Arabidopsis thaliana: one gene and its partners. The protein of the gene in region 2 interacts with the protein of the main gene of each other region in a biochemical or structural test. Each region holds a gene or a part of one and is shown on either strand. Other genes may lie near its edges.

What was found.
Region 1: the proteins of TOC159 (region 2) and PFA-DSP1 form a complex in vitro, tested with the Arabidopsis thaliana proteins (one study listed by BioGRID).
Region 3: the proteins of TOC159 (region 2) and THY-1 interact in a test that uses a peptide from one of them, tested with the Arabidopsis thaliana proteins (one study listed by BioGRID).

Annotation. Positions count from the first base shown.
Region 1 is NC_003070.9:1,422,627-1,430,148, reverse strand, and holds PFA-DSP1 (Phosphotyrosine protein phosphatases superfamily protein), read right to left. Parts: upstream 4,611-7,522; 5' UTR 4,490-4,610; coding exon 4,224-4,489; intron 4,134-4,223; coding exon 4,040-4,133; intron 3,915-4,039; coding exon 3,819-3,914; coding exon of another isoform or gene 3,750-3,818; exon of another isoform or gene 2,251-3,749; coding exon 2,193-2,250; intron 2,079-2,192; coding exon 2,035-2,078; intron 1,942-2,034; coding exon 1,756-1,941; 3' UTR 1,280-1,755; downstream 1-1,279. Other genes in the region: AT1G05005 (PPR containing protein), read right to left, coding at 93-104, 279-736, 888-1,101. UniProt on the Arabidopsis thaliana protein: Cleaves the beta-phosphate at the 5-position of soluble inositol pyrophosphates.
Region 2 is NC_003075.7:1,102,774-1,112,257, reverse strand, and holds TOC159 (translocon at the outer envelope membrane of chloroplasts 159), read right to left. Parts: upstream 7,693-9,484; 5' UTR 7,493-7,692; coding exon 7,429-7,492; intron 7,346-7,428; coding exon 2,898-7,345; 3' UTR 2,559-2,897; exon of another isoform or gene 2,492-2,558; 3' UTR 2,455-2,491; exon of another isoform or gene 2,283-2,454; 3' UTR 2,121-2,282; intron 1,978-2,120; 3' UTR 1,893-1,977; exon of another isoform or gene 1,593-1,892; 3' UTR 1,586-1,592; coding exon of another isoform or gene 1,146-1,585; intron 1,073-1,145; 3' UTR 1,035-1,072; coding exon of another isoform or gene 986-1,034; 3' UTR 877-985; coding exon of another isoform or gene 727-876; 3' UTR 474-726; downstream 1-473. Other genes in the region: GSTF2 (glutathione S-transferase PHI 2), read left to right, coding at 727-876, 986-1,034, 1,146-1,585; XT2 (UDP-xylosyltransferase 2), read right to left, coding at 8,913-9,287. UniProt on the Arabidopsis thaliana protein: GTPase involved in protein precursor import into chloroplasts. Seems to recognize chloroplast-destined precursor proteins and regulate their presentation to the translocation channel through GTP hydrolysis. Required for chloroplast biogenesis.
Region 3 is NC_003071.7:7,080,484-7,087,700, reverse strand, and holds THY-1 (thymidylate synthase 1), read left to right. Parts: upstream 1-2,835; 5' UTR 2,836-3,174; intron 3,175-3,205; exon of another isoform or gene 3,206-3,289; 5' UTR 3,290-3,367; coding exon 3,368-3,789; intron 3,790-3,883; coding exon 3,884-4,265; intron 4,266-4,342; coding exon 4,343-4,387; intron 4,388-4,526; coding exon 4,527-4,592; intron 4,593-4,678; coding exon 4,679-4,740; intron 4,741-4,827; coding exon 4,828-4,902; intron 4,903-4,990; coding exon 4,991-5,156; coding exon of another isoform or gene 5,157-5,201; exon of another isoform or gene 5,202-5,230; coding exon 5,231-5,461; intron 5,462-5,552; coding exon 5,553-5,663; 3' UTR 5,664-5,938; downstream 5,939-7,217. Other genes in the region: AT2G16380 (Sec14p-like phosphatidylinositol transfer family protein), read right to left, coding at 1-45, 139-290, 369-446, 538-804, 911-1,010, 1,366-1,618, 1,711-1,729. UniProt on the Arabidopsis thaliana protein: Bifunctional enzyme. Involved in de novo dTMP biosynthesis. Key enzyme in folate metabolism.

The DNA.
Region 1 (7,522 bases), on a different chromosome or scaffold from region 2:
TAAAGTGGTTTTGTTTTTGTAAACTTCTGTTTTTTTTTTTCATTTCATGTCTAGAAGAACATCACTTAATTACCAAAGAACAATTTAGTGCATTATTCTTTTTCCTAAAAGAATACAAATCTAAGAAGCCTAGTAATACTAATGTGCGTCAAAATAACACTCAAAACAACCAGAGGAATGCTCAAATTCGGAGGACAAACAAAAAAAGGAAGGCTCAAAGTGATCAAGATCAAGAGCAGATTCAAAACATGTAACAGCATCATTGCCTTTTTGGTAACCTGTTCCCTTACGTTCTGTTCTTTTTTTTCCCCCTCTCCATATATATCCTCTGCACCTTCAACATCATCCAGTTTCGACAAAGAGATAACCGCTGTTCGATACACCTCTTCGCACTTCTTAAAGTCATCCCAAAGAGTTTGCAGCAACTCTCTTGCATTCCATACCACGTTACCATATATCTCTAAACAAACTCTAACGTAAACCTTTGCCATTTCAACTATCCTGTCTCTCTCCAGTTTGATTCCTTCTTCATCAACCCACATTCTCATAAACATCTTTATCGCCTTTACATCGGCCTTCAAAACAGTGTTTGCAGTGACATTGTCGGGTTTCACATCGTCAGATCTCGCGTAAGAGGTTAAGAGCGTGGAGTAATCAATCATGTTTGAAGGGATACTTTTGAAGAACTTGTCTGCTTCTTCTAAACCCAACAGTGTCTCAATCAGATAAAGCCGAGCTGCATAATCTTTCTGAAACAGAGTACACACCTTTTCTTTACCCATATATCTTGATGCCTAATAATACCACAACCAAGAGCACATAATATGTAAGAAACCACAAATTGGTACATAGGTTGAAGATCAGGATTTAGAAGAAATAAAAAAAACTCGCGTTTTTGAGAAAATCGATCCGAATCTCGAAGATTCTTATGAGCCCTCTGGTGTACAATTGTTTCTCATGTTGCTGCAAAGACGCTTTGACCCGAATAAGCAGAGTTTGGCTAGCCTCGGGTGACCATAAGGTTGCATAGGAACGGAACAAAGAACTCTTGTAGCCGCAAGCAAGAATGCGCTTTGCATGTTGTTGAAGAATCGGTGTCATGCTTTTTATTAAAGTAAATGATTAACAACACTCCAGTAGAGTGTTTCGTATTCGTGACCTATAAGGACAACTATCACTCACTTATAGCTAAAAATTGGTACTGGCCTTAGTTAGGTTTCATATTCGTGACTTAACAAACTCTTCACACATCTAGCATGTCTTTTTCAACTAATAAAAATAATGATTAATTCCGTAACTGATTCAAAAAAGAAGTTATAGAGTTATGTTAATGATTGGTCAGTAAATCAAATTAGTCCATATATTTCGGTTTAGCATTACATTGAACAAATTATTTACACACTGATGGTAGTAGCATTTTCCTCTACACACGATAATAACAAATCATGTTCTGAAGAATTGAAATATATGAGCTAATAATCGTTAAGCAACATTCGGGATAACCCAAGAAAATACATATATTCCTAAACAAACTCCTGTATAGTTTACTTTATATATATACGTAATTATCTACCTTTATGCTTACACTGAGCAGTAAAAAAACAGAGTGAAGTCATTATAACAACGAAAACCTTTTCTTTTCTCGAAATAGTATTATTGATTCCAGAGAAAGGTAAAGAAAGAGAAGAATGTTTCCTCTGGAACTCTAATATGATTAATCTCTCCTTTTTATCTGAAGATTTTAGCTTCCCCTGTTTACCTGATGGAACAAGAGAATGACATTGGAATATGACTGAAGCTGGAAACATCGAATATCTCCATGAATCTTTGATCTGAAACTCTAGCTTTCGCTGCTGCAAATCGTTGGTACTCGTCGAATATCGATGTCAAACACCATTTCTGGAGCTTCCTCAAGCAACCAACAAGACAACCGGTCCGATGCTGCAAATTCCAGATTCATACTTAGAAACTCATTTTCTTCTTCAGTGGTGGAGACAAAAGATGAAATGTTTAGGATTGGAGTGAATGATTTACCTTGCCTCGCTTACAATGAATCAGAACAGGATGGTTTTTCTCATCTGAGGATTTTAAAAGGAGAGTTGTTAATAAACCAAGTTAGAATTAGAAAGCATACAAAAAGTGTGGTTACATGTGTTCTTTTATTTCAGCGCTTCTATATGATTCATAGTTACCTAGAAGCACTTTCAGTGCCATGCGGATTTTATGGTCTGGAATATTCACAAATGGCTCCTGAAAATAAGAAGAAAAAATGTCTTTTTAAAATTGTAAGATTATATGTCAAAAGATCAATCACACTACTAAATTGAGCAGATTAGGAAAAGATAAAGCAATCTAATAATCAAGGTTCATGCACAAGCAACGTCGAGAGAGACAACCATGCAAAGGTTCATTAACAGGACAAAGTCTACAAGTTATGAAGCATGTCTAATGTGATACCTTTTACTGGTTGCGTACTGAGAGAAAGATTCTTTACTTTTTTATATCAAAAAGTTATCTCCACACACAACAACAACAACACGGAATAAACACAAAGTCCCATTGAAAGACGAATCTATGAGAAGAAAAAAGCATAGCAAGCCAAGAATATCAGCGATAAAGGTTTCCTATCAAGATCGAAGTTGTCACACTAATTATAAAGAATCTGAGTCCAGAAACAAAAACAAAAGTCAATGAGATCCAGATTCTTCCAATAAAATCACTACACCAAGAAGAGAAAGCCACTTTATTTTCATCTTTAGTGTAAAAGCAAAACTAGGGAACTATGGTAGTAAGTATCTAAACGACTCCCCACATAAAGAATCGACTATCCTAGGAGTAGAATCGACAGGGAAAAGGTGGATTCTGTGGGGGGAGAGAATGATAGCTACTGCATACCAGAACAAACATATTTTCTTTCAAACATATCAACTCAAATTAGATTCATACCCATCTCTTCAGGAAAGGCGAATGGTAACTCATGAGGGTAATAAGTTCAAGACTCTATGGTGAAGTTTTTGGTTATTCTATCACTTTACCAACGATTTGCCCAAACATGAGCCACTAACACATAGAAAAGGAAAGGAACTAAAGGTACGTATTAAACAACATTAACCGACTTACAACGTAACCATCTATCATTTTCCCAGCAATTCCTAACCTTATCTAGATTTCAAACCTTACAGCTAATATGGACACTTTCACGATCAACACGCTTTCTACAAGTTTTTACCATAAAAAACGGTTTACTTGTACACAATCAAAAACACTTTCGCTGATGTATGATTTCATAAGATATCATATCTGTATAAAAAAGTGCACACTCAATAAACATGAACCAAGAAAACAATAACAACAGAAAGTAAGCTATTGAGTAGTGGGATCATTGACAACACTAGCAACAAGTAGCTCAGCAAATATTTTGACGTAGTCCATAATCTAATTTTATAAATAGAGAGTAGAAAGAACAAGTGGGGAATAGTTGCTGAAGGGGCAGAAAAACAAAGAGTGGGACCAAATCAGTGGAGGTCAAGAGAGACGGAAAGAGCCAAAGAGGCAAAACAATAAAGAAAGATGTGTTCTTTTTCTGGTAAACTCATAATAATAAAATATGGCTTGGAACAGAGTGCCCATGAAGGATCAAATTCAAGAGAAAGAAAACACAGAAACAGTTTTAGTAGTCTAAAGTAAACAACAATGAGACAGGATTTTCAAGAACAATTAGGCAATAAATATCAAGCAAATAAAACCCTTCAAATTGAATGAACTATGATATATTCCAGAAATAGTATCGTGTTCCAGTTAATATATGTAGTGTGTACCAAAGTTTTCGAAAGTCCATTAGTTAAGGGACCCTGTTTCTGATGCTTAGAATTCCATAAATGCAAGGAAATCTCGTTGTCTAAGTCAGGAACACACTGCAGCAAGATATGATTTTTCCATTCAGAGAATTCTCCTAGTGAACTATCCAAGTAAGGTTTAGAATTACAGAGCAATTAAAAACGGAGACTTGATGAAGAGAGAGGAGAAGAAAGATGGTTACCTTGTTGCCTTCAATACCAAACTGGAAAAGCCTGATTCCATTGGATTTAAGGAACTGGAGATTGCTCTCTGGGTAGGGCTCCGGGCACAAGTATCTTCACAAATTCGAAAAAACCTAAAATCAGCAATTTCGAAAGTTTGATATATAGTATACAAAATGTCATGAATGTGGAAGGAGCTTTTACATGATTGAGCGGAGACCGAGAGTCTGGAGAAAGGAGAAGTTAGCTGAATCAGGGAATCCAGACCGGAATATACCGTTATCGACCATGGAGAAGTTGAGCGGCGGAATTAGGTGAAGTTCTTCGCCGGAGACAACTCGAAAGGGATCAGCTTCACCGCCCGGAGCCTGAAACACGTTTCTGTTAACCTCGGAAACCTCGATGATGGTGCGGCAGAAATCTTCTCCATTGTCCTGCTCTGTAGTAGTCGTCTTCTCCACAAGCTTCATCTCTGAATTGGGAAACAGAGAAAAGGTTGAATCTTTAGGTGAGGAGAGTCGAGTAATGGAGATGGTCGTTACGTAGCGTCGACCTTGGGGAGGTTTATATGGAGAGAGACTTGTGACTCTGTTCAAAATTCAACAGACGAAAAAGAACGCAAAGGAGATGGACCCAGCAAGGACTCCTTTTTTATTTTTATTTTTTGTTTGTCAATAGCTGTTTATTTGTTTATTTTTAAAGAATTTGTGACATTTATCTTAAAAGCTTTTTTGTTTATAATCTGTTAAGTGTTTTTACTTTTTAGATACCTTTTAGCATATGTGAAAATAGTTGATTGGATCTACAATTTCATACTGAAATCCGTAATCTGTAAAAAAAAAAAGCTTAGAAAAAAATAAGTTGCCACTACACAAAAGAATCCAATATTAGAATAAACAGTTTAATATTTTATATTTACTCAAGTTGAGCTGAAAACAGCAACATACGGAAACTATATAATAATTAACAATACACGAATTTTGTAACGGTCTATCTTAGTTGTACATGCTACTACCATTTTTATCAACGGTTGATAATAACAATAATAATAGTATGATGGTCTAATTTGAGGAAATAACTGTTATAACATTTTCAAGGATTATTAAAGTAAACAAAATAAAATGACTTTGCAGTTTTGCAAAACAAACGAAAAAAATGATATTACATAAATTGTTCTTGTTAATAGGAAAGCACTTGTTGAAGCTTAAATTGGCATCATTGTGGAATCTTTTTGCTCACACACAATCATCTTATTCGGGTAAATCACTCTCATTGAATAAATTATCAACCGAACCTAAAATCATTTTTTGACTATATATTTTCACCAATATTATAATATTTAATATTTTGAATTTGAAGTTTCTGACCTATATTTACCTTGAAAAAGTCACTTATTCACAATATACAAAAATATTGACTACTACATACTAACATACATATATATCATCATTCCAGGAAATAGCGAAAATATAGATTCCAAGCGAAACACAGAGAAATAAAAAGAGAGAGAGAGATTCCAAAGGACAAAGAGCAATTACTCTGCTAAGTGGGAAGAACAATCACTAATCTGAGTCATCTGGCATTCATAAACGCACCTTTATTTAAGTTCTATGGGATCGTAATCTGAGTACATTAATTACTTCTATGTTCCTTTCACATTTTGTTTTGTTAAACAATTTCATAATATTGTTTTGAAATGTATAATTTTAGCCAATATTCGGTTTTAATATTTGTTACTGCCTTTTTTTTTTTTTTTTCCACCAATTTGTTACTGCCTTGAAATAACTATTTAATTGTGTGAAAATAAAATTCGGTCCAAACTATCTACTGTAGTTGCCATTTCTGTCATACATGATACTACATAATAACACGGACGCCGTGTTTTACCTTTTTTTTGGGGTCAAATTTCGTATAAAGAAAAATGGAGACGAATGTTTTTCTTCGGTGCATAATCGCACCATTTAAATATATGTCTATTACATAATCAAAACGAAATAATGCAAAAAGAACCACATCACGACAATACATTATTAGAATCCACGTCACATATTTGTCTTCCACATAACACTCACACCAGAAAACTACTCTTTTCTAATTAAAAAAAAACAGATGATAACTAAGCTAAAGACATAAAATTTGTAATGTTTAGTGTCCCACACTGGACTTTAATTGGATAAATTACTCCATAAAAACAAAATGCACCAGATAGTTTTTTTATAAGAAAAACAAAAAAGGTACATTCCAGGGAATATACCTTATGATTCTCAAGGATTATTGCGCCGCGAGCACTCGGCCACGTACGAAAGCGTTTTGGATGCCGTTAAAGAACTTTCCGTAAAAAGAACGTACGAAAATATCATAATGCCTTCAATTTATCTTTCGAGAATTTGTTCTAATTTGTTCTAATTTTCCAAAACATTGAAATTTTCTCACGGAATATAAAACATTAATATATGAATTAATGTTTTTCCAAAGCATACGTAAGCCTCGCTATACCGTTGCCCATTCCGAAGTTGCGTATCAAAACGCAAAAGGATTACAGTGAATTAACAATACGAGAAGACCGTTCATGAGAGTGAGTATACGCACATTTTCAATTGAAGTTATTGGAGTTGTTAATTAGTTGCATGCATCTAACGATCTAAGTCTCCGATTTTGACGTACAAAGATTTCGTCCATTATTGTCGTTTTTCCATATCATAGAAATTTTAATTTTTTCATGCATGATATCCATTCATCCATGATCATCAAGATTCAAAGTCGTGACTTCTTCTCTTGTCTCTGGCCCCACATTTGTAGACCTATTATTGGTTCATAGTTAGGTTCTATTTATGACTAATATCTAGTACAATATATCAACTTGAGAATTTATCAACTATTTGTTAGGAATGATATATTTAGCTCACTTTCAATTTTCTTGGTGTATTATCATTTATATATTTAGCATGCCACTTACTAACGTTTTATTAGAGTTGCAAAAAGATCATTTAATATTTCCCTCAAATAATTATGTGAAAACTTCAAATAAAAACAAGAATTTTAAACATACGAGACGAAAATGTAACATGGTCATTATAAATTGTTCACACACACATATTCTCTTGACATTAAAACCAAAAAAAATTTGTTTACATAGAAGATTTCGAACATCAAGACATAAAATGAAAAAAGGAAGTATCAAAAAGAGGCCCTTTAAAGCCCAATTTATGGGACCTTAGGCCCATTGTAAAGGTATCAACATCCTCCATTTCAGAAAACGTAAGATTTTACAAAACAGACCCAATAGTATTATTTTACCTGTTGCCAAGGCCCATTTGTTGGAGAAACCGACCGAAAGGAGTACGAGACTAAGAAAATCTCTTGCACATGTCTTTGTAATGGATCCGTCCTTTGGACTCTCTCTTGGATGTTGTTTCTGTCTCTTCAACAATAAATGATTAATTGTATAATTAACGAACGATCGTTCTTAGGGCTAATAGGGAAATACACCATCAATGCGCATG
Region 2 (9,484 bases):
ATAATCCTTTGAATAATCATCATTCACTTTCTTAACTTCTTTGGTTATTATTTACCTTTATACATTTTGTTCATACTTACTATGCATCAATATCAACAAGGTTGATTTTTCCATCGAATTCCACCACACCAAAAGGAACCAAGAAACCATACCAAAACTTCTTTGGTTATTTATCTGAAACTAATTCAAAAAGATCTGATCAGTAAACCTTTGTTCTATTGAATCTCACATTAAGAGAAACCCTTTTAACTTGAGAAGGCATACAGATATAGAGCATCACAAAATCCCCGAAACAAAACCGAACCAGTCATAACCAAGAAGGGGGAAAGCTACTAGATGAAGCTAGTAGGTGGAAGTTTGAGTCATTTGGCCTATTACTACGCACTAGTTATGATCTTTTCTCTGATACATTGAATACTTTATTAAAAACCATTACATAACCAATGTAAAAGCAAATATTTAAACGTTAAACAGTCCAATTCAGCTTTGAAAAATCCTCCCAGAAGAAGAAGACTAGTCAATATTGGTTGCGATGGCCTTGTAGAGGCATTATTATCTGTTAGATAATATTAAACATTAATGAGAAAGTAGAAATGCTTCTGTATAAATACCTTCATTACTTGTGTCTTATTTCATCACCTTCACCTTCAACATCAAACATCACATTTCTTCCTCTTTTCTCTCTTTTTTCTCAGTCTTCAAAGAGTTTCTTAGTAACCCAAATCAATGGCAGGTATCAAAGTTTTCGGACACCCAGCTTCCATTGCCACCAGGAGAGTCCTCATCGCCCTCCACGAGAAAAACCTCGACTTTGAGCTCGTTCATGTCGAACTCAAAGACGGTGAGCACAAGAAGGAGCCTTTCCTCTCCCGCAACGTAAGTATATCTATATATCTATGTGTTGTTGTAAGACAAGAGACCAACTGTTTTCATGTATCTGGCCTGCATCTCAAATGTTTTGTGTTTGAACTTCTTTCCTCTTCAGCCTTTTGGTCAGGTTCCAGCCTTTGAAGATGGAGACCTCAAGCTCTTCGGTATGAACCTTTTCCATGCATCATCTTCAATCTCAACTCTGAGTTGACAAAAGCCATTAGAGAGCAAAATCACTAATAAGAATTGGATTTTTTTATTTTTATTTTGTGTAGAATCAAGAGCGATTACTCAGTACATAGCTCACCGATATGAAAACCAAGGAACCAACCTTCTCCAAACCGACTCCAAGAACATATCTCAGTACGCAATCATGGCCATTGGAATGCAAGTAGAAGATCACCAGTTCGACCCAGTGGCTTCAAAGCTTGCTTTTGAACAAATATTCAAGTCCATCTACGGCTTGACCACAGACGAAGCCGTTGTTGCAGAAGAGGAGGCTAAGTTAGCCAAGGTCCTTGATGTCTACGAGGCTAGGCTCAAGGAGTTCAAGTATTTGGCTGGTGAAACTTTCACTTTGACTGATCTTCACCACATTCCCGCGATTCAATACCTGCTCGGAACTCCCACCAAGAAGCTCTTCACCGAGCGTCCACGTGTCAATGAGTGGGTGGCTGAAATCACCAAGAGGCCAGCTTCCGAGAAGGTTCAGTGAGAAATTTCTAAAAGGAAAATATGGTTTTGCTTCAGTCACAGTAATAATGCTAAGATTAAATAAGCGGCTTTCTCATTGCCCAATTTCTCAGTACTTTCTTTCTGTTGTATCCTCTGTTTTCTTTCAGTTATGTGAGTGTGTGTGTATGCTCTTGAGAGTATCTTTGGCAAAAACTATTTATCTAATCTTCAAGCTATTCTAAAATAAATCAATTAGTTAACTAATGCAAAGATTGCGATGTCTTAACTATGGAGATACTGACTAGTGAGAATAGTATGTAAGGACTTTAGTCTGGTGGAAATCTTACTTTGGAACGTTTCTCCTGGCGAAAGAAGTTGACTTAAGAAGACTTTGAACGTTCTTATCCTTAAAGTTTCCTTGCTTTGTCATGTCTGAAAATGACAAGTAAAATATAGACGTAAGCTTCAAATCAGACAAAACAAAACACATCAGATTTCTGGACCTATTCACCTCTCTATAAATAACAGAAACGGTTAGAGCAGCAAGTTTGTGTTTTTCACCATCAATTTTGTACCTTGACCGCCGTAAACGCAGGGTGAAGAAAGTCCACCTAGTGTTTATCTCCAACTGTTTGCTCGTCTCATTACTCTGATGACTTTGTGGCTACCCAAAGAATTGCGAGTAAAGCCAGCCATATATTTGCAGACTCTGGTCATCCTTTAAGTTAGAGGCTTTGCTACATCAAATATTCACATAAACCATAAAGATTAAGTCCACCAAGAAATATCCTTTATTCGGAGTTTTGTCTGCTAGTATCATCAAGTTTACTTCACCACGATACTCCAATAGTTTCCAGATATTATATAAGAATGAAAATCTATTACAAAGCATTTTTATAAAAAACATACCATTGCCTTCAAGGGACCAAGGAAGAACAGTAAGATCCTGGTGAAGAACACAATGAGATGAGGGTTCTAGTACAAAATCTTATCAACAGTTACAGGCTACGCACCTGCTTTAAAGATTCTTCACCGAGTGATTTGTATCTTCTGCAGAAATTTAGTAACAAATTAGCAAACTCAAACCAAGCAACATCATTAGCATGAGACGTAGACCAAAAGAAGACTGAACTAGATTCCATTATCTGAAGAACAGCAAGAGAAGCTGAGAAGGGCTAATGAAAGTGAAGAATTACTGATACATGATAAATTAAATCCGATGGGAACCTCTCAACAGAACCAAAATACAACTTTGATAAACTTCAACAAAGTTTTTATTAAAGTGGGGGAAAAACATGAACTAAAAACCAGTAATAAAAGAAAAGATCATTCTGCAGCATTCATCAGCATATTTAGTACATGCTGTACTTGTCGTTCGTCGCTTCGGGTCGAATGCTCTTGTAGATGGACATGGCAATTGGAAGAATGGCTGTGAGAGCGATTTGCAACTGATCCGAGCTGCTGGTTCTGACTGTGATCTGTCCGCTCATCTTGTTGTTAAGTCCTGCACGAAGCGCAATCTTTGAGTTCCTTCCAACAGAGACTTGAGATTGGAGATTGGCTCCAAGGGCTAAATCGCCTCTCCACTTTACCAGAGACAGCCCAAAAGAAGATTGGTCCTGTCCAATTGGGAAATCAGCTTCCCTAAGCCTGACCTCGAGGTTCGCACCATAGGCCGAATCTCCCTGTGATCGCATTGTCCCAGTGCTGCCCACAAGCACCAACCTTTTCCCCAGTGCTATTTGGTCCTCGAGTTTGACCCCAGTGGCGATGTTCTCTCCCAAGAATGTCACTGACCCTCCAACAGTTGTCTTGTTCTTCCTCAAATTCTTGAATTTGGTTTCTCCTCTGACCACATATGCCAGCTGCTTGCCTACATTCTGAATATCGAACCCTGCCATGGTGGATCCATTCTCCCCGTGCTTAGCAGACACAGAGGAGTCCAGATGAATGTTGAACTCTTTCTTGTCCTTGGTGACTTGGACAGTAGCTGTGGCAGGGAACCGGCTAGCTAGAGCAAGACTGTGTTCTGCATTGACGCCGTCATATCCACAGTCATGGTCCCAACCATGGGTATCCAACACTGGCCTGGTTAGGAGTTGTGAAGTGGGTTCCAGATATCGGTATCGGTAAGCTGAGTTATCACTATCAAATGAAGGTGGCAAAACCATATCGGGTAATGGAACTGGCACTGCAGCTGGAGCCCCGTTTTCTGGATCATCTTCTTCTCCCGGATAACCAAACTCACTTTCACCCAGCTTCTTCCCGTTTTTCTTCATTTCTTTCATCCTCTTTAATTCCTCTCTCCATTGCTTCTTCTGCAGGAGCTTTACACGGTAATCATACTCCTCGAAATATGCCTTTCTCTGTTCATTTGAGAGCTTTGCAAGTTGGGTTTTTCGAAGAGGCTTAAATGGTGGCAGCTGGTCATACTCATCATCTTCCCCATCTTCCTGCTCAGAATCAGACACATCATCAATTTCGATATCAGAGTCAACACTATCACCACCTTGGTCTCCAGGGAGCTTAGGATGTGCACGGGACTGCAACAGCCAAGACAACAAGTAAGGGAGAGGCGGGGATCTAACTCGGAAACCAAATACTTTACGATGGTCCAATGGTTCTTGAGGCCTCAATAGAGAATTTGTTTCTGACAAAACCTTCAGGGAGTAACACAATAGCAACAGCTGAGATCTCCAAGTTTGGCCATTCGGGAGAACCTTCACTCCCTCCCGGTTCTTCCTACACAAGGGGTGATTCTCAACAAGTGAAACTGGATTCATCAGACTTGGATTCATCAAGCGTAGATCTCCAACAGCCTGTCCTATAGACTGTTGCACAATATGTGAGCACTGCGCTACAAACACATCATAGCTCAATGGGGTGCCAGATGGGCCATCAGGAGGGGCAGAAGCCGCATGGGTCAATGTCACTATAGCGTTTTTCCATATGGATGTACCAAGAGAAGCAGTAATCGTCCTTAGCAAGGGCAAATTGTTCAAGTCCCTGGTCTGGGTGTCAAGACGATCTACATATAGTACAATATCAGGGGGACACTTCTTCATTACCTTCTTTACAGAGGACAACATTTTTGCATTTGTACTTTGATCCATCGCAGCAGACTTCAAACCCGGAGTATCAATAAAGGTAATCTTGACACCATTCACCGTTCCAGAAATTTCTCTAACCGAAGTGGTTGAGAGCCCAAAAGCATCAATGGACGCAATCTGGTTTCCCAAAATGGAATTTATAGTAGCACTTTTTCCCACCCCGGCTTTTCCAAGGACCAGTATGTTTAGGGAGAAGATCAATTCTTCGTTGCCCTCAGCCTCAGACTCCACAGCCTTCTTCTTTGCAGCATCAAGACTGAATAACTGCCCTGCTTGTCTCCCAGCAAGTAGTGCAAGACGGTAAAGAACCTGCGCTGCAATTGAATCTTCTGCCGAATGACCCAACCTTTGCAAAAGCCGCAAAAACTTCACACGGAGGCTTTGCAACTTTTCTAATTTCTGTTTCTCTTCCTCGCTCAAGTTAATCTCAGTCTCATCTGCCATTGTGACATTAGAATTGGAAAAGATGTTGGAACGGTTTGCACGTGGAGCTGCTGCAGGCTTCAAGGGCCTTAACGATGAACTCAAACCAGCAGGTCGATCCATAGAGAAAAGCTTCGTGCCATCCTGAGATGTTATGGTAAAATTGCCACCTTCTGAACTTCCACCACCAGTGGCTGCCTTCAAAAGCGCAGCCAAAGCTGCAGTATCAAACATTTTCTCCTCACCTTCATCCTCTGTGTCTACATCCTCGTCAGAATCGGTGACAATCTGGCCATCAATCCTATCTGACATATTGTTAGAAATGTTTGCTTCATCAGAATGTGCCTCTATACCAGAAGAAGCCTTTTCCAACTCTGCTAAGAACTGTTTTGCAGCTTCAGAACTCCCAAATATCATCTCTTCAGTTTCTTCTTCACTTTCAGACCCATCAACCCTGGTAACACCTTCGCCAGAAGGTTCCTGGTCCACTTCCTTGCCTCCAAAGCTAAACTCACGAGAAGAAACAATGTCTTCGACTGGGAGCTTGTTTTCATCCTCTTCAGCACTGTCCCCTTCGACAACTTTCCGAACCTCAAACTGTGACTCAGCTGCAGGAATTGAATCCTCTTCTGCATCAACTGAACCCACTTTTAAACTTTCAGAAACAGGCAATTCTTCTACTTCCACACCTACTTTTGGTTCGTCTGGCTCTACTTTGGCAGCCTCTGATATTTCCTTAACAGCCAATTCAAAATTTCCATCATATGCAGCAGTCAGGTCATCAGGTTCCTCAATATTTGAGATGGTCTTGTCAACCTCATCATCTTTATCATCTTCCTTAATTACAGCCTCCTTAGCCGCCCCGACAACCACAACCCCTGGCTCTGCAACATTGATATCAGCATCAACAGAGTCCACCACAGAGGAGTCAACCATAGAGTCTCCTTCACTAACCAACTTTCCTCCTCCCTCCTCTGTGGCTTTATCGGATTCAAGTTCAACTTCACCACCTTCACCTTGGCCAATTGGATCAAACTTATTATGCACATCAGGGATGTTGCCATCAGTTTCCAGCACCTCACTCACCTCTACGTCTCCAACAACAACAACCCCTGGCTTTGCCACATCTACATTCACAGCTTCAATAGCAGATGAGTCCACCACAAAGTCTCCTTTGTTGTTTAACTTAACACCTTCTTCTGCATCATCGACTATGCCACCGAGCACACTCTCCTCCTCTTTGGTTCCATTGTCAGCTACTGCACTAGCTGCCTTGATTACTTCAGCATAAGTCATACCCTTCTCCAATCCGTTGGCTTTTTCCACATCCTTTGGTTCACTCCCACTCTCGGCAGCTACAACCTCTGGCTCTACAGCACTGGTATCCACAGATTCTAACTTAGAGGAGTCTGCAATAGAGTCTGATTCGCTAGTAAATTTTTCTTCTACCTCCTCAATGGCCTTGTCAGACACAGGTTCAAATTCACCACTATCATCATCCCCAATTTGATCAAACTTATTAGCCACTTCAAGAGTTTCAGCATCAGCATTAATCTTCAACTCCTCACTTCCCTCTGCGTCTCCTACAACAACCACCCCTGGTTTTGCCACATCAACATGCACTGATTCTACAGGGGACGAGTTCACAATGACGTCTCCTTTATCAGTTAACTCCACACCCTCTTCTTCAATAACATTATCACTTTTATCGTCAACATCAACTTTTCCACCCAACTCACTCTCCCCCTCATCATCTTTTTTTGTTCCAACATCTTCTTCTTCCACATCCTTCACTTTACTCTCACTCTCCCCATCTGTGGAAGCCTGTTTCACATCAACATCAACACTCCCATTTTCAATCTTACTCTCACCATCGTCTTTAATATCCTCCACGTCCTCCTTAACCTTCTTATTCTCCTCCACAACCCCTACACCATCAGAAACAGCCTCCGGCTTCGGAGATAACGATGAAACATCATCTACACCAATTGTCTCACCAGAAACCACCTCAGGCTTCGGAGTAGCCTCAGGAGTAGTAGAATCCTCCTTTAAAGAACCATCCACCTCGTCGGAAACCTTCCCATCACCCACCAAATTCGGCTTCTCCTTCTCGGAGTCAGATAAATCATCAGCTCCAACCTTATCCGAATTACCAGACACAGCCTCCGATGAGGAATCCAACTCCTTGGCACTACTCACAGCACCACCATCCTCCTTATCGGCGGCTGCAGCAGCAGCGGCGGCGACAACAGAAGCATAGGTTTTTCCTGATAACAAAATATCCTTCCGATTAAAACCCTATTCCCAAAAACGCAGATTAAAGAAGATATAAACGAGAAAGAAGAAAAACCTGATTGCCCCGAAGAAGCGTAGAAGGGGTTGGTTGGTTCTGGAGTAACCGACTTTGAGTCCATTTCCGCTTTGCTACTGAGACTCTTTCTCCGCCAAACTTGTGGAGGAAGGAGATAGCGATAGATAGATAGGGTTTAAAGGAATTTACCCTTTTTTGTGTGAAGGTTTTTATGATTGAGAATTTGGCTGCTCTCTCTCTTTTGAAGAAGAGAGAATTGGGAGAGATAAGGTCACTCGGCGAACAAAAAATGACTCTTCGTTTTTCTTCTTTGCCTTGGGATTTTATCTTCTCAGTTTGTGTTTTGAGGATGATGATGAAATTACCGAATTACCCTCGCTTCTATGTTGGTGAAGTTTCCAAGAGGGCTCTCTTTTGTGCTACGCTTTAAACTGTGTCGCTTCATTGGCTCAAGCCAAAATATATAGAGTTTCTTTTTTTATTTGAGGAAGAAGTACAATAATCATTTGTGGTTAAAATTTGAAAAACATTGTATCATTTTAAAAAACAGTAATTTTTTTGTCAAGAATTTTCAATTTTTGTTGAGTAAATTTAGAATATTTTAGTCACTTTTTGGAAAGTATTTACTGTTTAATATTTTGTTTTTATTATGCACAATTCTCCAAATGTTAAAATCTTCCCCAATGGAAAATGTTTTGATGGGCTCACTAAATCTAGGGTTTTTGAACTCATGAGAATTAGGGTTTTGTTATATCTTCTCTTTACTAAAAACCAAAAAAACCACACAACAACAAAATAAAATAAAACATTTAAAATAAAAAACGAGATAACATTTTGAGATTTGGGTTTTATAAAGAAGAAAGAAATCTTTTTTGTATCTTTGTTGATCCTCCCTACCCGAAATTGCTTGGCCACAAACGATTTTCTCACCATTATCTACGAATTATCTTGGATTTTTGTATAACACGGATTCCATATATTAGGCCGTGATTTTAGTTTTCAGATGGGCTTTTATAAGGCCTCCCCCTAATAATAGCCCGTATACATGATTTTATTATCAATTAAAGACATTCAGATTTCAGATACAACAACCCATACTGCAAAAGAATCTGACCACATGCCAAATTTTGTTTTTCGAATTAAACTCCTAAACTACACAAAACTTGTGAATATGATCTCAGAACTATACTAACTCAATGTGATTTTTTCACATTTTGCATACTAAAAGTAAATAATTAGTTGAATGTGAAATCAGGTTAAAAAAAAGTTCTTGAATTAACACAGATTATTGATCCATGAAGCTACAAAATCTCAAGTTCTAATGGATTACAAAGAACAAAAAGGAAGAAAAACAACATTTTGATTTCGTAATAGAACTCTAGACGTAGAGACAAAGTAAAACCAAAGAATTAACTGATGTCTCTGCACAATACTTTATCATCCATCTTAGTACAACAACAAGCAAAGACACAAGACATAAATATAGCGAGAAACATAACACAAATCCTAAACGCAAAACCGATTCAAACTTGATTGGTTTGTACCTTAACCGCCTTAAACGCCGGATGAAGCAACCCGAGCTCGTCTTTCATCTCCAACGGATTGCTAGTCTCGTTCCGCACTCTCTTGACTTTACGACTAGCCAAAGATTTGTGAGTGAAACCATAGATTTGCAGAATCTGGTTATCTCCAAAGTTAAAGGCTCTGTCCATTTGTTTTAGACACCGTTCCACCGGGTAATCACCAAATTTCCCACACGGTTTGCAACCGACAAAGTGAGTCACCAATGGCCATCTGTGATCTCCTAGACCCGGGTGGTAGTTTTCTATCATTTCTTCATATCTGTCCACAAGAATCCCCCAGTAACCGTGAAGATAGTATCCACTTTCTAGGTACACCTATAACAACAATGCAGTGGCTCAAATGAGTAGCTCAACAAAATCCAAACCAAGCAAAGATTTGAGTTTACTTCAATAATAGACCCTTACACAGATGTCAGAAACCACAAGATGCAACTCACATTGTCATTTTTGATGATCAAGAGACATGATAAACCACAAAAAGCAACTCACATTGTTATTTTTGATGTTCAAGA
Region 3 (7,217 bases), on a different chromosome or scaffold from region 2:
TTGTCTGCACAAGTACAAAGGCCGCCAAAGAAATATGGCAACTCGCTAAAACAAAAAACGAGATTACGATGATTTTTGTATAAAATTAGTTATAATACAAAGCAAGATATATCATTGAGTTAAGGACTAGAATCTTACCTAGCGTCTATGGCTTCGAGCAATTTGGGTTGGTATTTGTTCCCAAGAACATGAATCTTTGATGTCGTTTTTGGATCGAGGAACTTTTTAATTGGAGCCCACAAGAGCCGGAATCCAGGACCAGCATTGATGATGAACATTCTGTTCAAAGTCTATGAAGAATAATTTATTTACAACGTTGTTACTTGTTACTATACCTACGAGTAATAAGCTTTTTGAGGTTAAACTACCTCAGGGTAATTGTCATTATCGATCTTGAGAAGGCGCTGAAGCAGCTCTCTCGCGGATTTGTTGAAGTTCTTAAGCCCCTAGTAATTGAAAAATGACACATCGTTTTAAACATTTTTTCATATTTATACATTTTCGAAAGAAGAATTGAGGTAGAAAAATGTGACAAACCACTCCTTGGACATCAAAAATGGTTGTGCTTTGGTCAATGTGCTTCTTGGCTGCGGCAGAGCAAGAAGGGAACTTGATCTTAAACATCTTCTCGAACTCTTTCACATGGTATTTCTCATACCGGTCCATTGTAGTCGCTTGTAACAGCTTGTTTGCATCGATTTGACCTAATCTCTCAATGTAAACCGGCCTGCCTTCTTTGTCCACTCCATGGTAACCTTGCGGATAATGTTTGAGTACTTGATCGATCTCTTCAAACTCGAAATCCTTCATTATTAAAAAAATTATAAACCAAACAAATCACTCGTCAAAGATTGTGTATATATAAATGATCAGTCTAAGATGTTCCAAGATTCTTGGACAAAAAGTTAACCTCAATGATTGTATCGACTCCGAAATCCATCCTCCATTGAAGCATGTCACTCCACATTTGCTTTGCTTTCTCTTTGTCAAATTTTCTCGCCCTTAAGAATCTATGTAGAGATTAAACATAATAAATCATAATATTACAATCGCAATAATCATCTACAACAAGTAACATTTAGCTGTAAACTCATCATGAATTATGGATTTATATGAAAGTGTAAAACATTTATTGATTCGCTTGTAAGAGATGAACAATTTTTTTTTTTAAGATATGAAGATTTAATGAAATGTTATAATGTTAAGACAACCAAATTTTTGGTCATCTATTAAACCAGCTCCTCATCAAATAAAATATTCGTTTGGATTGGTATAATTTTTCCATTAGTTGACTTCATGATATTTTATTTCATACCACAACACATCATTTGACCTAGTAGGGATCTTAAAGAAAAATATAAAAACCTGAGCATCATGTGAAGATCATCGTGTTTGGGGGGCAAAAGGTCGTCAAGGACGAGGACTTGACGGAACGCTTCCACGGACAGATAATCGTCCCCGTTGATGTCGTCTGTATTGGCTACGGACACAATTTTGCTGCTGGTCCTCCGAGTCTTCTTCTTGAAAGAGTTCTTGAATCTATTTGATGCGCTTATCGCTTTCTGTTTAAGCGAGCTCATCTTCACTAGCTTCCTTCCATCCTCTGAATTCTCCATATCTAAACCACACATGATTGGTTTACATTAACATTTTAGGCAAGAGGAAAAATTGTATCAATGGCTAGTTAAGGTAAATGCATTGACTTATAACCTTGTTTGGTGTCAGCCATGGTTTAGACTTTTGATGAAACACCTAAAAGATGATTAAGATTGTTTAAGAAATAAGATTGAGGAAAAGAGAAGCAAAACCAGTGTTTTTTTTTCCTTACCTTATTGGAGATGAGTTCTTGAGAGGAAGGAAGGGTGAAAGATGGTAATGGTGAGGATCATCTGAAACTAATTAAGACATGTAGAAAAGTACTTGAATGTCATTTTAACAAGCTATTGATAAGGTCCAAAGGTGGTTTTGTTCTTTTTTTTGTTTTTTACAATTGGTTTGTTCTTAATATATGGAAATGGACATGTGTGTGATATAATATTGAAATATATCAAAATCGATTCGTATCTGTACCAATAAATGCTATAATTAATAGAAAAGAGTATGACGCCAATTTGGACTAAGTGCAGCCCACCACTTTACAGATGAAAACATAGTTTACATGACCAAATTATCATCTTAATCACTTTACAGATGAAAACATATTTTACATGACCAAATTATCATCATAAGAAAACATATTACACAATGGTTTTACATGACGAAATTATCATCAGTTCGGTTTGGATCGATTTCTTTTGATTCTGGATAATTAGTTTAAAAGATTGAGGATCAATGGTTTTACATGACCAAATTATCATCAGTTCGGTTTGGATCGGTTTCTTTTGATTCTGGATAATTAGTTCAAAAGATTGAAGATCTATTTAGGTATTTTAGAATTTTGGTTTATATTATGTTCGGTGCCTTTTCGGTTCGTGTCAATTTAGATTTGAACTAGACTTCCCAATTTAACTAAATTTTAATATAATAACCAAATATTTCGATTTTAAAATTAATAACCGAATTAACCAAAAACTACACCGATAATTTAATCGGTTATTTTTTGTAAAAATTTCAGTTTCTGAAATACTTGAGAAACCAAACTTACCTATCCCGAAAAAGCGGAATACCCCATAATCACATGCCTAGTCTGTAATTTCTCTCCGAAAACTTGTCATTTACTTAAATCATTCAAAAATCTACTATTATTTTGAAAAGAGGGAATAGTAACATATAAATATGAGAAAGTCCATATTAATTAGTAAGTTCAACATACATAATTAAAGAAATCTATGTTCAAAACAAAAAAGATTGAAATAACTATTGGTCTATCTAAAACCATGGTTCGCACTTCGCAGTAGTGGATAGTGTCCGGATAGTGGTCTTACCTTTAAAACCCGACCCTTACTTTCGATCTTCTATTTTAGTTTGATAGAGACACGTCCGTCTACTTTAAGCGTTTTACGAATCGGCGTTTCCCTCTTTTCTCCCCCGCTTATCTTCTCTTCCTGTCCTTTTCAACTCCGTGACTAAAAAAAAAAAAAAAGTAACCTTTACCTACTTTTCTTCTGGGTTTTCGATAATCTCTTTTGGGTATTTGCAAACCCCTCAAAGATTCTTCCTTTCTCCTTTAAATCGGTCAGTACTGATCTCTTCTCCATACCCTTTTGCTATTTGTTTCAAATTTCGATTCTTTGATTGTTTTGGATAGTTTAATTCATATGAATCTGACTCTTGTGTTTGATTTTCACAGTCTCTGCTTTGGCTTTGTACTAGCCATCGCAATTCATCATCATCTATTGCAAGTATCTCCAAGGTTTTGATTTCCACAATGGCAACAACTACTCTCAATGACAGTGTCACCACTACACTTGCTTCAGAGCCTCAAAGGACTTACCAAGTTGTTGTTGCTGCAACTAAAGAAATGGGTATTGGTAAAGATGGGAAATTGCCATGGAATTTGCCAACAGATCTCAAGTTCTTTAAAGACATTACTTTGACCACTTCAGATTCCTCTAAGAAAAATGCTGTTGTGATGGGTAGAAAGACTTGGGAGTCTATTCCCATTAAGTATAGGCCGCTTTCGGGTCGGCTTAACGTTGTTCTAACTCGTTCTGGTGGGTTTGATATAGCCAACACTGAGAATGTTGTCACTTGTAGTAGTGTAGATTCTGCTCTTGATTTGTTAGCTGCGCCGCCGTATTGTTTATCTATTGAGAGGGTTTTTGTTATAGGAGGTGGTGACATATTGAGGTAATGGTTGTTGATTTTCATTTATTATCCCTTTTGGTGATTCGGAATCTTGTTGTTGGTTGGAACTAAGTGTTGGTTGGTTGTATTTGTGTAGGGAAGCATTGAATAGGCCTAGTTGTGATGCTATCCATTTAACTGAGATTGATACAAGTGTTGACTGTGATACGTTTATACCTGCGATTGATACTTCTGTTTATCAGCCTTGGTCTTCATCGTTTCCAGTAACTGAAAATGGACTTCGGTTTTGCTTCACGACTTTTGTCCGTGTAAAGAGTTCTGCTGATGAATCTTCTGATGAAAGCAATGGGTCACAGTCTCTTCAATTTGATGGGAAGAAGTTTTTGTTTCTTCCTAAGATGGTTTTTGATCAGCATGAGGAGTTTCTGTATTTGAATATGGTTGAAGATATTATCTCTAATGGCAATGTGAAGAATGATAGGACCGGGACTGGTACATTATCAAAATTTGGTTGCCAGGTGATATAAATCCGTTTCTTTATGTATTCTGTTTATCTCTAGTTGGTTAAATGATCTCACATTTCCTTGGAACACAGATGAAATTCAATTTACGCAGAAGTTTTCCACTTCTGACAACAAAGGTATGCTCACTTTTTCCTTAACTTTCCACGTTTACTCGCAAAAGGAGAATGCTTTGTCTTCTGTTGTATTTAGTGGCAGTTGCATATCTACACTAGCTCATATTCAAACTCACGCAATCTGTTTGCTTTTTTTTGGTAGCGAGTTTTCTGGAGAGGTGTTGTTGAGGAACTTCTATGGTTCATAAGCGGTTCAACCAATGCAAAAGTAAATTAAGCCAGAGTGTCTCTGCTATGCTCTAAAACTATGCAAATGAATTGGTTATATCTATGATAGACTTTATACATGGGCAGGTCCTTCAGGAAAAAGGTATCCATATATGGGATGGGAATGCGTCAAGAGAGTATCTCGATGGGTAATATTTGTAACCTGCATTATCTTTTTGGTTAAAGAAATATTGATCTTGACGACCTATTTGCTGATTTATCCACCGTATTTTCAGTATCGGCCTGACAGAGAGAGAGGAAGGCGACCTTGGACCTGTATACGGATTTCAATGGCGACACTTTGGTGCTAAGTCAGTAACTTTTCAATGCATATGTTGGTTTTTTCTTCTCTGTTCCGATGGATTTGTTTTGGTGAAACATCTTTCTCTTGTTTTACAGGTACACAGATATGCATGCTGATTATACTGGTCAAGGATTTGATCAACTTGTAGATGTAATTGACAAAATCAAGAACAATCCTGATGATCGGCGTATTATAATGTCAGCTTGGAATCCTTCTGATCTTAAGCTGATGGCACTTCCTCCATGCCATATGTTTGCACAAGTAATGCCACTTTATCTTCTAATTCTGTTGTTTCTCCTACAATGAGTTTGATTACTTTTTTTTTTTTTTTGCAGTTTTATGTGGCAGAAGGGGAACTCTCATGTCAAATGTATCAGCGTTCAGCAGATATGGGCCTTGGTGTGCCGTTTAACATTGCTTCTTACTCTCTTCTTACTTGCATGCTGGCTCATGTGTGTGATCTTGTTCCTGGTGATTTTATCCATGTTCTTGGGGATGCTCATGTATACAAAACTCACGTGAGGCCTCTGCAAGAGCAACTTCTGAATCTTCCAAAACCCTTTCCTGTAAGTATATCGCCGACAATGATCATCGAGGAATGCATATTCACCTATCCTTACCGTGTTTTTGTTTGTCGTCATGGGCTCACTACTGCAGGTAATGAAGATAAACCCGGAGAAGAAACAAATCGATTCTTTTGTGGCTTCTGACTTTGACCTCACAGGCTATGATCCTCACAAGAAGATAGAAATGAAAATGGCGGTTTAGTTCTCATCTCTTACTATAGGATATGACCAAAAGGAGACTACCGACAAATTGATTGTGTAAAATTTATGATTGAATCAGATGAATGACCATCAATGTATGGACTCATATTACCCTTTTGTGGGTGATAACTTGTCATAAACATGTGTTGGAATCCTCTAGTTCCACATGGTTCTAGAGCGATTTAGGATTTTATACTTCTTTTATATATTGTTTCCTATTTCAACTATCGAATGAGAACTTTGATGATTTTGGCCAATTTATGTTCTTTTTGGTTTTAAGTTTGTCTACAAGATACATAAATAATCTTTCTAATATACTATAACTGTTGTGGTGTTATAATTGGTATACAACTATAACTGTAATTTCATATGCTTGTGTTTAAAGTAATTGATTGATGACACAAACAAAAGGTGTGGATAATGCAGAGTAACTACACTATACACTTGTGGCCTTATGTCGGCAATTGACGAATACTACACAATATTAGACCTGCGAGCTCGGTTAACCAACTGGTTAACCGGACCAAGCCAGTTACTTCTCGGTTTTTTCGTAGAAACTAGGGCTGAACATATGGGTAACCCGTTCGGGGTTGGGTTAAATGGGTAATAGATTTACTATCCAATAAGGGAAAATGAAATTTTCGGTTCCAATCCGGTTCGGGTACATTCGGATTCGGGTTGATTTGGGTAATCAATTTGAGAACCGGTAAATACCCGAAAAAATTGGTTAACAATTATCCATTACAGCGAAAAATACCCGAGTTTCAAATGATTTGTGACAAATCACAAGAAAAAACAGAGTGAAAAAATGAACATTAACATCCAAATTCCAAACCTAAATAGCAAACTGCAAACAACAATACAAATATGACAAATAGAAGTTCTCAAACAAGAGTAATTGAAGAGTAAACCGCAAGCAACAATCCGAAAATGAAAAACATAAAACTCGAAGTTTAAAACATACCAAACCGGATATCCATAAACCCATAAACCCGAATCGATTTGGTATGTTTTTGGTTTTAGAAAAAAGGTCAACCGCTCGGTTAGGGGAACTGAACTAACTGAACATGATTCAAAATTCTGCCAAATTGAACAGATTGCTAAACCAATTTCGAACCGAAAACTGAAAACTCTCTTTGTTCCGGACAAAAACCGAAGGCCTTTTATATGTGTCTGAAAGAAAAGTTTCTTTTGATAATAAATGAGGGTTATTAGAATATGTCTCACATCGAGACTTTGATAAATTGTGGAGCAATATATAAGTAGTAAACCTCCACTCATTGAGCTAGCTTTTGGGTGTGAGTTAGGCCCATACTAATATGGTATCAGAGCCCAAGGTTTCAATTTGTCTCGATTGTGGACCACCCGTGCATGTCCAATCCCACAAATTTTACGCTTTAGATGTCCAATTCTGAGCGTGAGAGGGGTGTATTAGAATATGTCTCACATCGAGACTTTGATAAATTGTGGAGCAATATATAAGTATGTGATAAACCTCCACTCATTGAGATAGCTTTTGGGTGTGAGTTAGGTTCATACTAATAAGGATGTTGCC